2 linked regions of the Alligator mississippiensis genome follow. The protein of the gene in region 2 interacts with the protein of the main gene of each other region in a biochemical or structural test. Links are inferred from orthologs where the notes say so. Each region holds a gene or a part of one and is shown on either strand. Other genes may lie near its edges.

Evidence for each region.
Region 1: the proteins of SNTA1 (region 2) and solute carrier family 2, facilitated glucose transporter member 3 interact in a test that uses a peptide from one of them, tested with the Homo sapiens proteins (2 studies listed by BioGRID and IntAct). The link is inferred for Alligator mississippiensis from reciprocal best matches to the Homo sapiens genes SNTA1 and SLC2A3.

Annotation. Positions count from the first base shown.
Region 1 is NC_081827.1:148,010,142-148,017,910, forward strand, and holds the start of solute carrier family 2, facilitated glucose transporter member 3, read right to left. Parts: upstream 3,146-7,769; 5' UTR 3,131-3,145; coding exon 2,990-3,130; intron 1-2,989. UniProt on the Homo sapiens protein: Facilitative glucose transporter. Can also mediate the uptake of various other monosaccharides across the cell membrane. Mediates the uptake of glucose, 2-deoxyglucose, galactose, mannose, xylose and fucose, and probably also dehydroascorbate.
Region 2 is NC_081832.1:27,973,728-27,980,983, reverse strand, and holds the start of SNTA1 (alpha-1-syntrophin), read right to left. Parts: upstream 3,103-7,256; 5' UTR 3,002-3,102; coding exon 2,737-3,001; intron 1-2,736. UniProt on the Homo sapiens protein: Adapter protein that binds to and probably organizes the subcellular localization of a variety of membrane proteins. May link various receptors to the actin cytoskeleton and the extracellular matrix via the dystrophin glycoprotein complex.

The sequences.
Region 1 (7,769 bases), on a different chromosome or scaffold from region 2:
GTATCATGCATCCTGATTGCATGGGGTCTGAAGTAAAGCAGAATCAGCCAGGAACCTGCAAAATAACAGCTATAATCCTCCACAGAAGCCATATGATATGGTCTTTTCCCTGGGTTGGCCTTCCCAGAAGAAAAAAAAAATATATCTAAACAAAACCAAGGAAGACAGCCACACTTGTCTGTCTGGAGGATACACTGTGTCAGGAAGTATCATCCAAATGCACACATAGAAAAAGGAGCAACAAGCACCCAGTGGGTACCTGAACAAGCCACTGAAGAAAGAATTCATTTGAGACCAAAAAAGGGACTGGGGGATCAGGAACCTATCTAAGATTCAGAGAGTATTACTGATGTCCAATATAAGGAAGAAGAGTCCTCTCCTGTGTGTGCTTCCCCTGACCTCCATCCTCTATCTGTGTCTCTTTGGGAAGCTATGCTAGTGAGTGGCTGTTATATTTGGCTTATCTTCTTTAATGAGAAGTAGATTTTGCCTCTTGGCATGTGACTAAGGTATAATCTTCCATAAAGCTTCCCATGCCAGGTGACTGGAGCCTTGGATATCTGTGTCAGTGCATCTCAGTTGCACCCGTATGAGAGTGGAATCCAGTCCAAAGGGATTGGTGCTTTGTACTGCCATGAAGACCTGCATCCTTCCCAATGTGGGACCCAGCTGCCCTGCACCAGGGTGCTGATGGTGGCAGATTTCTGTATTGCAGGCCAGAGGGCAATCACTGCCAACTTAAGAGTCTCACAATACTTGGTATTTGTTCTTCAAGCCTCCTCTACAGGAGTCAAATGAATCTCCATTTTCAATAAAATAATAAACCAAGTTTCCAAGCCCTCAGGCTACAAAGAAAAGCAAAGCGGGGGGAGGCGGGGGGCACTTATGTGGGATTTTTGAGCACTTAGGGTTGGCTCTAGTAAGAAGGTCTACCCTTTACACCCCCTCCTGCCTCACACAGTAGGGGTTGGAACTCCTCCAAAGGTATTGACAAGGGGAGCTGCTGGGCTCTGCTTTCACCACAGATGACTGGGACTACTGTGGAGGCCTGTTGTGGTACCTCCTTCCATTCCATACCCAGCCTCAGTTATCCTTGAGATTGCAAATGCTGCAAATTCAGAGCTGTTCCCCCTGCATTATCATAGAAAGACTAAGAAGGCCAAGTCCAGGGCTGGTCAGAAGCTTGTATGCTGCACCAGACTCCAAATGGCACTGGTTTGGACACAGCTGCCTCACAAGTATTAACTGCTTTACCTTGCAACCACCCCAATGATGTAGGAACTATCACTACCTCCATTTTACAGACGAGGAACTGAGAACAGACAGACCAAGATACCACATCTTTAAAGGTACATGGGACTGGAAACAGTCTAAACCTCCCATTTTTTTCATTCCATAATCACACTAAGGGCTTTGTTGTGTCATGGTTCCCTCCATGAACTGTCCAGTTCAGGTCTCCTGTTACCTGAAGCACAGGAGGGCATGCTTTATCCCCACAAATGGGGAGCACAGTGGGCACAGTTCCCTGGTGTTCTCCACTCTTTTCCATGTCATCTGCCTTTTCTAGTCTATACACATCCCATCTCTCATTTCATTACACGACACGGTCCCACCCATACCCTGAAGTAAGCAGGGCTCCAAGCTAAGGTATATTCCCTACTCCCAGTGGAGCCTCCCCAGAAGGCACCCACATAGCTCAGAAAGACCAGGGTGGGATCCACACACCCTAAGGGTGTGTCTGGGGTGGAGAATTCAAAGCACAACCCCTGCCCCTCTGCAGCATCACCAAGGTCCACCTGCATGTGGGTTATCCAGGGAGCCATTTCCTATCAGCTGCTTTCCCATTTTACAGCCTACAATTCCAGAAGAGTGCCACTTATTGCTGGGCAGCTCCTTTACTCTCCTCTAAATGACCCTGGCTGGGATGCTGGCTGGCAGCTCCCTCCCTCCCCTTTTCCTCTGCTACCTTAAGAAGCAGTATCCAAAGCCCCGGCTGTGCCTGCTGATGGCTACTGGGTTATTTATGCCACAAAATAACCCCCAGGTATCCTTGAAAGAGCATCAGGATCAAACAGCCCTGTTGGCTGTTGCATCCCCTCCCTCCCTCCCTGTCTCTTTCCATGCCTCTTCCTTGCTCCTTCTTTATCTTTAATGCTCCGGAGCGCACACTGCGAATCATTTCACTCCATCATCAGCAGACACAACACGTGTGGTTGCAGGTCCACAGAGATGCTGACAAAGGCTCACGAGCCCTCTGGCAGCAAAAAAGGGAGAGATCCTGCCTACCCTGATCTGTTCAGACTGGAAGATGACTTGCTTTTATCAGGGGAGGGGACCCCAGTGAGAGCCATTGTCCTTTCATTATCGTGAGTGCACTGTCATCTTGGTCCACGCCAGCCCAAACAGCTATTGCTCAGCCAGCAAAGCACATCTCGTGCCAAGTAACAAGATGCCAAGGCAAGGACAACCTGGAAAGCCAGGCCCCCACCAGGTGCAAACAAATGCCATGACTTGCAACAACCCTACAGAAACCCCTCCCTGTACGTGCCCCCTCCCCCCCCCCCAAAAAATCCAGGGTACCAATTTTTCATCCCAGCATCATAGACCATTCGGATGAGAAGGGGGTCACATCTAGTCCCACCCTTTGCTCAAAGCAGGACCATCCCCATCTAGATCATCCCAGCCAAGGCTTTGTCTGCCTGGAAATAAAAAACCTCCAAGGATGGCGATCCCATTGCCTTCCTCCACCTTATGTAGCGGGGGCTGGTTTTGGTGCAAGAGCTTCCCCCAGACCACAGCAAAGCCTCTGCATCCTGGGCCACTCAGCACCTCGCCCCCAGCCCCAGGGCCGGACTAACCCCGCCGGCTGGGCTGGGCTGGGCGTGCAAAACCCCGCGGGGTCCGGCTGCTCCTCGCCTCTCTGAAGGCGATCGCGGCTGCACCAGGTGCGGCAAGAAGATGCTGGGGGAGCCCCCCGTGCTGCCCTTACCTTCGGGCGGTCCATGGTGCTGGAGCGATCCGAGCCTGCTCCCTGTCCCTCCTCCGCGGTCCTACGCGATGCGCTGCGCTGGCTGGGTCGGTCTTCGCTGCACACTCGCCCTGGGATTGATGCCACTGGTCTGAGGTTCATGACTCAAAGCCGCTATTTATGGCTTTGGTGAAGGGGCGGGGCAGGGACGAGCCCCCGCCTGTCTCGCCTGATGCTGAGAGGAGGAAAAAAAGCAGAGGTCTTGTGACCTCCCATGTCAGGATTGTACGTTTGCATCGATGGAAATTGAAACAAGCGCAGCGCCCCTTACAAGGCAGCGTCTGGCAGCGCCGCCTCCCCTGGGCTGGGGCTGCGCTTCCCGGCAGAGAGGGCCGGGAGGAGAGGGGGCGATCGGGGGGGGGAAGAGCTGGTAGGGCTGTTGCTGCCCTGGAAACACGTGATGGAGGTGGAATCTATCTATCTATCTATCTATCTATCTATCTATCTATCTATCTATCTATCATCCACCTGCCCATCTGTCTAAATATTCATCTGTCTGTCTGTCTATCTATCTGTGTGTCTGTATCTATCTATTTATCTAGATCTAGATATCACTCACTCACTCTCTCTCTCTCTCTCTCTCTATCTCAGGGGTAGGCAACCTCCAGCATGGGTGCCAGAGCATGGTATGCAAAGGCATTTGATTTGGCATGCATGCCTCAGGGTGGATGGCAGGAAAGGGGCTGGGGCTGTGCTGCCACAACCAGGATTAGGCCCCTCACGGCTCCCTCGCCATCTGCCTTTGGCACACCAATATCTTACAAGTTGAGGTTGTGGGTGTTTTTGGCACTAACCAAAAACAATGCTGACCACTGATCTATCTATCTATCTATCTATCTACACGTGTGTTGTGTCTGCTGATGGAGTGAAATTTTATATATATATATATATATATATATATATATATATATATATATATAATCATAGAAAATTTGGGTTGGAAGAAACTTCAGGAGGTCATTGAGCCCAACTCCCTGCTCAAAGCAGGACCATCCCCAACTAGATCACTCCAGCTAGGGCTTTGTCAAGCTGAACCATAAAAACCTCCAAGGATGGCAATTCCACCATCTCTCTAGACAACTTATTCCAGTGCTTCACCACCCTCCTAGTGAGAAATTTTGTCCTAATATCCAACCTAAACTTACCTTGCTGTGACTTGAGATAGTGTGCTGTTGCTGCCCTGTAATGGTGACAACACAGTAATGCAACACTCCAGCCCCGCTATAGAAGGACGAGCTAGCTGTGTTTGGGAGGTTCTTTATGAAATGGTGGTGCACTGTGTTCAGAGGTGAGGGAGATTCTCAGGAACCTCTAAAAGAAACAGAAACCTCAAAAGATGCATCTGGACAGCACACCCCCTATATGAAGCTAGAGACTCTCCATGCTGAGTGATTCTGCTGTGTAAAGTTGGCCTCTACAACCGGAATCAGTTCCTGACCACAAATCATTACGTGCTCTTTCCAGTTCCAGAGAAACTCACCCTCCACCCTCCTTACAGCCCCTTCATCAGCCAAACTATAGCAAAATGGTTGACTCAATCAAAGAGCCAGGCTTTTAATCCTAGGCAGAAACCCTGAGCAGTAAATTCCCTGTTGGGTACAGAACCAGTTTGAGTCTAGAAAGTGGCAACAGTTCAGTATTGGAGGGGATTGCAAGGGAGATCGCATCTCATTGATTGAAAGACCATTTTATGTTTTCTTATCAACTTTTCTCATCTGATTTGGAAAGAATCTTAATCCCATTTCAGTGACTGTCTTAGAATGATCAGTAGGGTTACCATACATCCAAGTCCTCCTGGACATGTCCCCTTTTTGGGTCCTCCCATCTCTGTCTGGGCATTTTTTTTTAAATCTGAACCGATGTCTGGGATTTTGCTCCACTCCTCTGGTGGGAGCAGGGGAGGGCATGTGCACCGGCAGTTGGATGCAGGTAAGTCTATAAGGAACGGGGTTGGAGGACCTGGACTTGGGGGCTGTTGGGGGGGGAGGGGCAGGGATGTGTGGAGGGGGGGGGGGAGGGTGACGCTGGGCAGGTGCCTGGCAGCACTGGCAGGGCTGGGGGGGCAGGCTTCAGGTTGGGATTGAGAGTCACCAGCATAGCCAGTGGGAGGGGAGGGGAGGACAAGGAACTGTGGGTCAGGAGTGAGGTGCACTGGCAGAACCAAGGGGCTGCAGGTTGGGAGTGAGGGGCACTGGCAGGACCAGGGGGCTATGGGTTGGGAATGAGGTGTCCCCCCAACAGGTGTGCCCTTTTTTAAAACTGGAAATATGGTAACCCTAGTGGTCACACAGGGACAAAGAGGAGCCAAAAGTGCTGTGGGTTTACAGTTGGGCACAGGATGAAAGGTTTGTTTTGGAGTCTGAACTTCTCTATAGTTCAGGAGTGTTCAGATACCGGGTGTAAATAGTAGTTTTAGTCAGAAAATTGGCTCTGTGAAAAAGATTAGGAGAAATTACACATTTTCTTCACGCAGTAATTTCCCGCTCATGCAGACTACCTTTGCCAGTGTTAAGGATTTTTTTCTCCCTTCTTAACTTGCCAAAAATAATCCAGCAGTCTCTTACGTCAGTACTGAAAATAATGAGAGAGGAGTCAAATCACTATTTTGGAGATGCTCTGCACAGTTCAGGATATTGGATGTTGCAACTAATCTCCACAATGGGCTAAGAATATTTCTAATTCTTAATATTTCTGAGTCCTGCCTTGCCTTGAGCCGGCCCTCCTTTCCCACCCCCACCCCCAACTTCCTGTAAGTGCTGTGAAATCCAAAATCTGGGCTCAGATTTAGATACAAATTTGTAGCTCCAAACCCAGTTGTAACTGTAATAACAATTTTGTCATAGGAATCTCACTACTAGATCCACTTGTGACATGGTTTATTCAGCCACACTCTTTAAGGGGTTGCTTAAATGAGATTAAGGGGTTTAACGGGGTCTGCAGGGTAAAGAGGAATGATAATTAGACATAAGGTTAAGAGTTGAAGCTGGAAGCTAAGCTTACCCAAAGATGTAGGGACAACAGATCTACCACACTGATTTGAGTGCCAGTTCCAAACAACAATTCTAATTCAGCTGTCCCATGGTTTAAAAGAGTTGGTAGTTTAAGTATGGATGCAAATCCATACCTTGCAAAATTATACCCTTTATTAGGCCAGTTACTTAAACCTAGGGCTGTCTAAATTCCAGGGAAGTGCCCGGCCACAAGACTACTGAGTTAGGAAGAGCTTTATTCTTTTACTAGAAGTTCTACCTTCTACATCCAAGTTGGTACATGCCTGCAAAAACTTGGTGCTTCAGATGAGTCAACATCTTATGCTGAAAAGCTATTTTGCCAGAAAATTCCCAACTAGTCCTAGGCAAAAGCCCTTGTGTATTTGAAACCCTACCAACAGAAAGTGTTGTTGACATGGGGAATTAGTATAAGCTTTGTGAAAAATTTGCAGTGTTAAGAGAGGGCAGAAAAGAGGAATGAAGAAAGAAAAAAAGAAAGTACATAAAGAATGGGAGAGAAGAGAGGGGTGTCTTTTTACTATTAAAGTGATGGAAAACTATGATCATGGGCATCTATATACATGCTTCAGGGTGGGGGACCAGAGGGGTGTTTTAATCTTGGGACCCACTCTAATTAAAATGCCTGCAGCGTCTCATGTATTCAGTGTCCCATGCTTCAAAATGGCGGCGAGGGTGCTTTAATTAAAGCTCATTCAGCAAGTTTAGTTAAAGTGCCCCTGCCGCCATTTTGAAATGCGGGGATGCTGAATACACATGATGGTGATGCTGCTGAAGCATCCTAATTAGAATGCGCCATCAGACTTAATTAATCGAGTCTGCTCCAACACGCATTGGTGCAGGCATCCCGCACGTGTACAGGCACCCAAGAAGAAGTGTGACAGGGCAGAGAAGAAAGAGAGACAGGGGAAGGAGAGGAAGAGAGCACATTAGAGAGAAAAAAGGAAGAAAAAACAAAGGAGAGAAAAGACAGAAAGGGCCAAATTTGAGTCCATCTATTTTGCACCCAAATGTGATCTTATCCCACCCTGCTCAAGTTCCTAAAACAATTAACATGCTACTTTTGTAACACACTGTCATCTTAGCCTTAAGACTAAGTCTTAAAAAGCAGAGATCAGGAGGAAGACCCACTCACCCTTTTCATTAACATTTTTCCAGGGACTCCCGCAGAGTGTAACAGAATTGTACGTAGGTGCCTAAGTCGACTTACGTACCTAATAGGCTGCACAGATTCTGGAGCCAACTGCCTTCTGACTTTTGAAACACTTTTACTAGATCTAGTATATTAAACCTCATTGAAAGTGCAATACACATGCAAAGCATTAAGAATTTAAAATACAATTGGAGGCTGCTCCCAGAGGTACAAAATATATCTCCGATAAAGTGTGGAAGAAGGAAAGAACATGTATGGGACAGGCAAAGGACGAATAAAGTCGAAATTAAGGAGAGATGGACTCTGTCAGTGGAGAGAAGGGGAGGAATGACAACAGAGGAGAGAAAGACAAATGCATAGAGAAAGGGGATGGAAGAGAAAAAAGTTTGGGAGAGAAAAGGTGCTTGTAAAGGAAATGGAAGGAGAGGTAAGAGAGGAAATAGGGAGCAGTGCCATAGCAATGAAGTTTGGCGCCCAGGGCAAAACCCGCAATGGCAGCCCACCTTTGCCCTGTGCACAGATCCAGGCCCCTCCCCCCCCCTTGCCTGGGAGTGCATGCAGCAGTGGGAGCTGCCCTTCC
Region 2 (7,256 bases):
AAGCAGATGAAAAGCTGTCTGCTTTCTTTGGCTGCCAGAAAGGAATGCTGGATGTTGATCTCTTGCAAAGCTGGCCCCAAATATCCAAAATGCTGCTATGTCTCCATTCTTTGCCACTAGAATTTGGGCCAGCTGCTAGCTTTCTGTGCTTTATTCAGCTTGTGCAAATGTCCTGTCCTCTTCCCCACTCCTTGCCAGCCACAGTTCTTGGGAGACTGACCAAGTTTGTGGGTTGAGAACACCAAGGGCAGAAAGAAACTTAATTCACTTTATACACCCAAATGGCTGTTTTCCAGCTGTGCAACTGCCATTTGTGCCACTTACAAATTGTGAAGTTAGTCCACATGCACTGTGCAACCATCCATAAAGTTACTAAACACGTGTGGCAGGCTGCACTCTGGCTGGGTAGATATGCAGCTCCATACACACGTACTCTGCACAAGCCAAGTCATGGAATTCTTTCCACCTGCTACTCCACAAATAGCAGGTTATTAGATGCCAGAAAAGGAGGAGGGGGGCTCTCTCATGCTTTACATCCCATACCTGGGTAGCTAACACACTTACCCAGGAAGCAAAAAATCTAGTATATAGATCATGTTCCACCTCTTCAACTTCCCAAAAGCACAATGTTCTAATCACCAGGCCATATGTTATGCATTTATTTTATGGTCTGGCCCTCTGCAAGGGAGCAGATCCTATATTCTAATCTGGGCCCTTTCTCCCAGTGCACCAGAAATACCTGTTTATCCATTGAATATTAAACACAAAGTACAGCAACTCAGGTTCAGAAGAACGGCTGAATAATGCCTCACCTATACCCAGCGCGCCATCCTGGAAGTCAGAAAGATCCAGGTTTATAAGCCATCTTGCATGGGAGGAATGGGGGTCCATAACGTAAATCTCCTGTTTCTGATGGCTTTGACACTAAAACATGGGAAGGGGGCCCTCCTTTTTGCCAGACTGAAATTTTGGAACATATATACCTTCACATTAAACATGCTCAGTAGTCACGTGGATGCACATTCATGCTATATAGAGACAGGATTGCAAACTGTGTCAACGCTAAACTCTCAATTAGAAGGGTGGAAAATTGGCACTTGGGCACACAAAGTAAAATACGATTCTGCCCCAAATCTTCATAGTTTGGAGGGACTCTATTTCACTCTTGCATTTGGCTCATAATAAAAATATGAAAAACACTGGGTGTAAGTTTAAAGGAAGGACCTAGCTTTTAAAGGGGCATGGCAATAGATTAGCTTTCCTAAAATCACTTCCTTTCATCTTCTGTGAATGTACTCAACTTCCTGGAGAGGTACATTACCTCCATCTTTGATTCTAAAGGTCAAAGCTGCACTTTTTCCAGGTTGCTTGAGAAACTTTAACAGATAAAATAAATAAATGCGTCCTGCCGCTTCAAGAAAATTATACCTTCAAAACCTGGTTTATTTTGTGTTAACACTGTCTATTACTCAGAGCTCCTTCAACACACTGTGCCAACTTCTCCATTGTGTCTTAGTGCAGCAAACTTGTACAAATGAGGTCTTTCAAGTCGTGCTGATGGGGTTGACAGAGGTGCCTTTACAATTCAGTCCCCCTAGAAGGTTAAATCTGACAAGTGGTGTGGACTGCGGATTTTTCATCGTCACTTCTGATATGGGCAAGGTGTTATGGAGCAAGATCTGTTGCCTGGTGCTGGCTAATATGAAGGGATGCTAATAGGCTGCAAAAAGGTAGAACAGCCTTTTGGTTCAGTTACAAAGGGGAGGACAAATAACACCTTAACACTTCTGCAAAACACAGCTGAATTCCAAATTCAAAGGCACAGAATGGGAGAGAAACAGAGGGGGAGGAGGGACCTGCTACATGTGATATGTATCACGCAATTGACCGTGAATTGTGCAACAAATGTAGATGGGCCACATGTCCACAGTAATTATCACACTGAAGGACTCCCCTGCTTTAAAAAGACCCAATGAGCTACAAAATTAGTGCCTGAAGATGTGTCCTACTCTAATTGAAACAGTAGCAGAGCCCTGGGAGAAAAGCAATTCTCAGCTCTGCTTGCCCCAGGTATGGGGCATAACTGTGGTTTCCACAGGGGGCTGGGGGCCCAGACTATGTCTAAGGGGTCTGTGAAAGATGACTATGATCAGTCAAAAGTATGTGACCACCCACATTCACAGGTCAGAGGTGCCTGCACCGCCTTTCAACATTTTTAGGGGTCTGCAAATATAACGGTTGAAACCCGTTGTCCCTGGCATCTATTTTTAAACTTTTTTTGCCTGATATTTCTGAGCAGCAGCCAACCGGCTCAGCTGGGTTCTACCTCCAGCCTCAGAAGAGGCTGCATCAGGCAAGCCAAGAAGTCGGGTCGGAGCAGCCTGGGGATCTCCCAGACAGAAGCATCCTCCCGCAGTGATTTGCTCTTCCCACCCCCGACAAGAAGCGTCCAAGTTTTTGAAATAAAGACTGGTAACCGCCCCCCGCTGAACTCTGCGGGCAGCTGCCCCGCCTCGAGGGACCGGCGGAGCGAGCCCGAGCAGACGCGTGTCCCAGGCAGGCGGAGAGCGCCGCAAGGAGCTGCGTGTGGCAGCAGCGCGTTGGGGCCGCGGGCCAGGCCCGCGGCGGCGCCGGCACAGCAGCTCCGCGGGCCCCGCGCCCGGCACGCTCCCAGCACCCGCCGCAAAGTTTGGCCCCAAAGTTGCTCGGCGCCCCTGGGCCGCCCCGCGCCCGCACCTTTGATGCTGATGCCGAGCCCGCCCACGTCCTGCTTGACGATCCGCACCGTGCGCTTGATGTTGGCCAGCGCGTCGGGCACTGCGGCGCCGGACTCCGCGCTGTCCTGCGGCGCCGGGGCCGGAGGCTCCTCGGCGGCCGCGCCCTTGGCGGGGCTCACGCTCAGGAAGTCTTCGGCTAGAGTCACCAGCACCCGCAGCCACTGCTCGGCCGGGACGCGCAGCTCCAGCAGCCCGCTTTTGGGCGCCCGCCTGCCCGCCGCCATCTTCAGCGCATTCCGGGACCGGCTGCTGCGCCGCCTCCCGCCCGCCCGGGTCGGCAGCGACTGGGCCCCGGGCACCGCGGCGCCGCCTGAGGCCTCCCCGCCCAGGGTGCCGCCCCCCAGCCGGCCCGGGCGCCGCGAGCGGCCGCAGCACTTGAGCCCCGCCCCACCTCGCCCGAGCGCGGCCGCCGGGGCCCCGCGGGCAGCGGCCTCAGCCGGCGCCGCGGCCGCTCCTGAGCCAGGGCAAGAGGCCCCGCGGACTCATCCTGCTTCCCCGGCCGCCCTGGCACGGCTACGTGCGCGAGCTGAGACAGCGGTTCCCAGAGGCTGTGGCAGGACGCCAGCACCAAGTGTGTGTCAGCGGGGTCCGGCCGGAGGAGCCGTCACCCAGTCCCGGCGGCTCCGATATTTGGCCGCCGCTTTCCCGCCACCAAACGGCCACGCTCCGTGGCGCAGGATCGGGTTCTGGCAGAGCTGGCCCTACACAGCAGGTTCACGCTGCACCAGCCCCACACACCTCGGCAGGGTCCAGGGAGCGGATATGTGCCACCCATTTTACTCCATAAAAATGTGTACCCCCAGTATCAAAACTATGGGAAACATTAACTTAGGAGAATAAAGAGGGGAAAGACACCTGATCTCTCCTGGTGTACATTTAGTTAAACAGACAACAGGTTAGCAGAGAGCAGAAGGTGATGCTTAGAGCAGGGTGCTGGATAACCAGGCTTCTGAGTTCTGCTACTCGTGTAGTCTGACCTGCCTCAAGTCCCCTCTCCCTCTAAAATGAGGATGAGCATCCCTCAGACTTGCCCACCCCTGTGGAGTGTTAGGGTTAATTCATTCATGCCTCTACAATGCTTTGATCCTTGCATGGGGCTTTGGTCTGGCTGGTTCCCTGTACCTGTCCTCAGAATCTTGTGCTATGGGCCTTGGGGCATGAGGAGAGCCAGATGTAGGAAGCAGCTGGTCACAAAGCTCTTTCCCTGTAAACTTTATCCAGCTCTTTGGATGCAAATTATTCTTGGCTCTACAGGAGACATAACAGCACCTTGAACACACACAGCATCAAGAATATTAGCAGACTCCTAGAGCTGCCATATAGGTGATCCACTTAACTGGGAAGTGAAGCAGGATGTGATTGTATCTGTCCTTTGTGTCTTCGATATCATCTTGCAAGAGCTTGAGAAATCTCTGGACAAAATACCCACAAAAACTTCATAAATCCAGTGATAATTTAAATCAATCATCTTTGCGAAGGGTTCAATGAAAATGTACAGGATTCTGAAGAAACTAAACCAATGGTTCCAAGTACCCATCCCAAAGGGTGGCTTGGCTAGCCAGAGCACTCCTTATCAAATGTTGTCAGCATACATGAATCTGCTGTCTTATCTAGCTCTACAAGTTGGTTCAATGAAAAATATTACCTCAAAAATCTTCCTTTTATCCTTAACAAACAGGATCCACTCATCTCAGTGAACAACAAAACCAATATATTTAAGATTAACAGCATCTGTGTCTCTGGGTAAAACAGAAGGTAATTTGGTTCTTTTTCTATTTTTACAGATATCTAGCCATGTGGAGTCATGGCTCAGGAGTAAAGGATTACTAAAATCATTGGCAATCCCTTGATTCAAGGATGGTCTCTACCATGGTTCACTGATGGGTCTTGAGATGATTTAAGAGTCCAATTCTTGAGCAACAGATCCATCCGCAGGAGTTGTAGGTCTTTCTGCAGGGGAGAGTGGGCTGCAGGCAAGGATTCCTCTCCTTTTCCTTCCTCTACTCTGTCTTCTCTGCTTCGAGGGCAAGATGCTTTACTTCAAAATGGGTTGAGGTTGTGGTGCCGTTGGGGTCAGTTGGCAGCCAGCACCTCCCAGCTCTTGATGTTGCCATCTGTTTCTTGAAGTATGCCTTGAGTGTGTCCTTGTAGCATTCCCTTTGGCCACTGTAGGATCTCAGGCCATTGCTAAGTTGGAAATAGAGCACTTGTTTTGGGAGTCGAGAGTCAGGCATCCGCACACTATGTCTGGTCCAGTGAAGTTGATGCTTGAGGAACACTGACTCAATGCTGGTACCATTCGCTTCAGCAAGGATGCTGGCATTAGTGTGGTAATCCTCCCGTTTGATGTGGAGGATTTTCTGGAGGTATTGCTGATGATACCTCTATAGGCTCTTGAGATGATCATAGATCACCCACATTTCACATCTGCAGAGGAAGGTGAGGATCATGGCTGCATTGTGGACCTAGATCTTGGTGTCTTTCCAGAGATCTTGATGAATAAAGACACACCAAAGCAATTTCCCAAAGAAGGCACTTGTGCATCAGATCCTGTGCTGGAACTCTTCATTAATGTTCACTCCTTGAAAAAGGTGGCTGCCAAGGTAGGGGAAATGCTTGACTACCTCCAGGGTCTTTCCCTCAATTGTAATTTGGGGAAGGGGGTTGTCTTCATGGCCTGGTTGATAAAGCACTTTAGTCTTCTCAATGTTGAGAGGCCCACAGTTTAGTAGGCTTCTTTAAAAAGATCCAGCATGGTGTGGATGTTTTCCTCAGTGTGTGCAAGTGTGGTGTAGTCATCTGCATATTGAAGGTCAAGGATGGTTGTTTTGAATACTTTGATCATTGAGAGAAAAAAAAACAGATTGAAGATCCCTCAATGCATTTGGTATTCTGTGTCAATTTTGGAAGGAACATGGTTCTTAACGAGAACTAGGGCTACTGTCAAAAAATGGAGAACAGAGTTGGGGTGATGATGCATGATTGTGTGACAGGCTGACTGCTTTTGCCCAGCAAACCAGGCTTGGAGAAGGACACTTCAGATTGGTGGAACATTTCCACCAATCAGGTAACAGCTGGGAGGGGCATGCCCCACCCCTGCTCAGAAGCGGGGGGCAAGGAGCCCCTGGACATGATTGAAGACTGCGCTTTGCAGGTCCAGCGGACTTCGGGGCAGGGCCTCCAATGTAAATAAAAGCCCAGTGTGACTCCGTCATCAGGACTCCGCCTGAGTCTCAATGGTGCCTGAATCAGCGCACGGTGCTCAGGCTCTGGGAGGCACTCGAGGCAAATCCGGCAAACAGCTGGGCACCCCGGCCTCCTCAGCCAACTCTCCACGCATCAACCTGCGCACTATGTGGGGCCCGAGCAGCCTCGAGCTGCTCCCAGGGCCAGCTCTCTGCATGCTCGAGGCTGCTCGGGCCCCACATGGTGCATAGGTCGGTGCGTGGAGACTCGGCCTTGGGAGCAGCTCGAGGCTGCTTAAGTTAGCCCTGGGTCTAGGCCTGATAACCGGAGCCCCTCAGTGTGGTTCAGCATTAAACTAAAAGAGCCCCAGTGCCCAGACCAGGGCCTGGAAAGGGGAAAGACCCCTGGCATGAGGCCAGGAACTGAAGCCAGTGAGGGCTCGGCTTCCATAGAAGTTCCCTGGGTGCCGGGCACAGGGCCCAGAGGAAAGGGACCCCAACTCAAGGCTGACAGCTCCAGGAGGCCTGAGACGGTGCAGGGACCTAAAGATCAACAGCCCCCAGTGGAAGGACCATGAGTTACTGGAACATTAGAGTGAAGATCTCTGTTCCCCATTATGCAGACATCAGAGTAGATAATTATAACCATCCTTTGCACCCTTAAAATCAATGAACCTGTACACCAGTAACGTGAAAGATACAGTCTCTGGGCCAGGGCTGGTCTGTGGAACTTTATTATTGGGCTTTCTGGGCACCTGGAGGGGATGGGAGTTCTAGCGCAGGGTCCCACCACTGATTTGAGCGTATGGAGGCCTGTCAGGACATGTGTTGGCAGCAGAGGGGTGAGCAATGAGTGTATTAAACCATGAGGCACAGAAACCCACAATGGTTAATGCCATGGCCACTCACCCCACCACCAGAGGTGGGTCTGAATCTGGCCAGGGGGGAGAGAGGACCAAAGGGAGTTTGGTGCCCTCGCTATAAATTATGTGACAGAACATAAGATGCTTTTAAAATGCACAAACAGAAGCTTACAACATTCTGGTATTCCCAGTTATGTTTTGTTTACAGAGAAAAATGTGCATGGAAAGCTTATTCCTGATATCCCTATATCAAGAAAACAACCTTGCGTAGTGCTGCTGGTACAGCACGGTTACTGTGCACACCAGGCTGCATTCCAGTGACAGATTTTCAAAGACAGGAGCCAATGGCAGGATCAGGGCTTTCTTCTGCTACTGTTTTTCTCTGGGGCGGATATTTTCAAAGCCTGCTTGCAACATCCTCAGAGACTGGA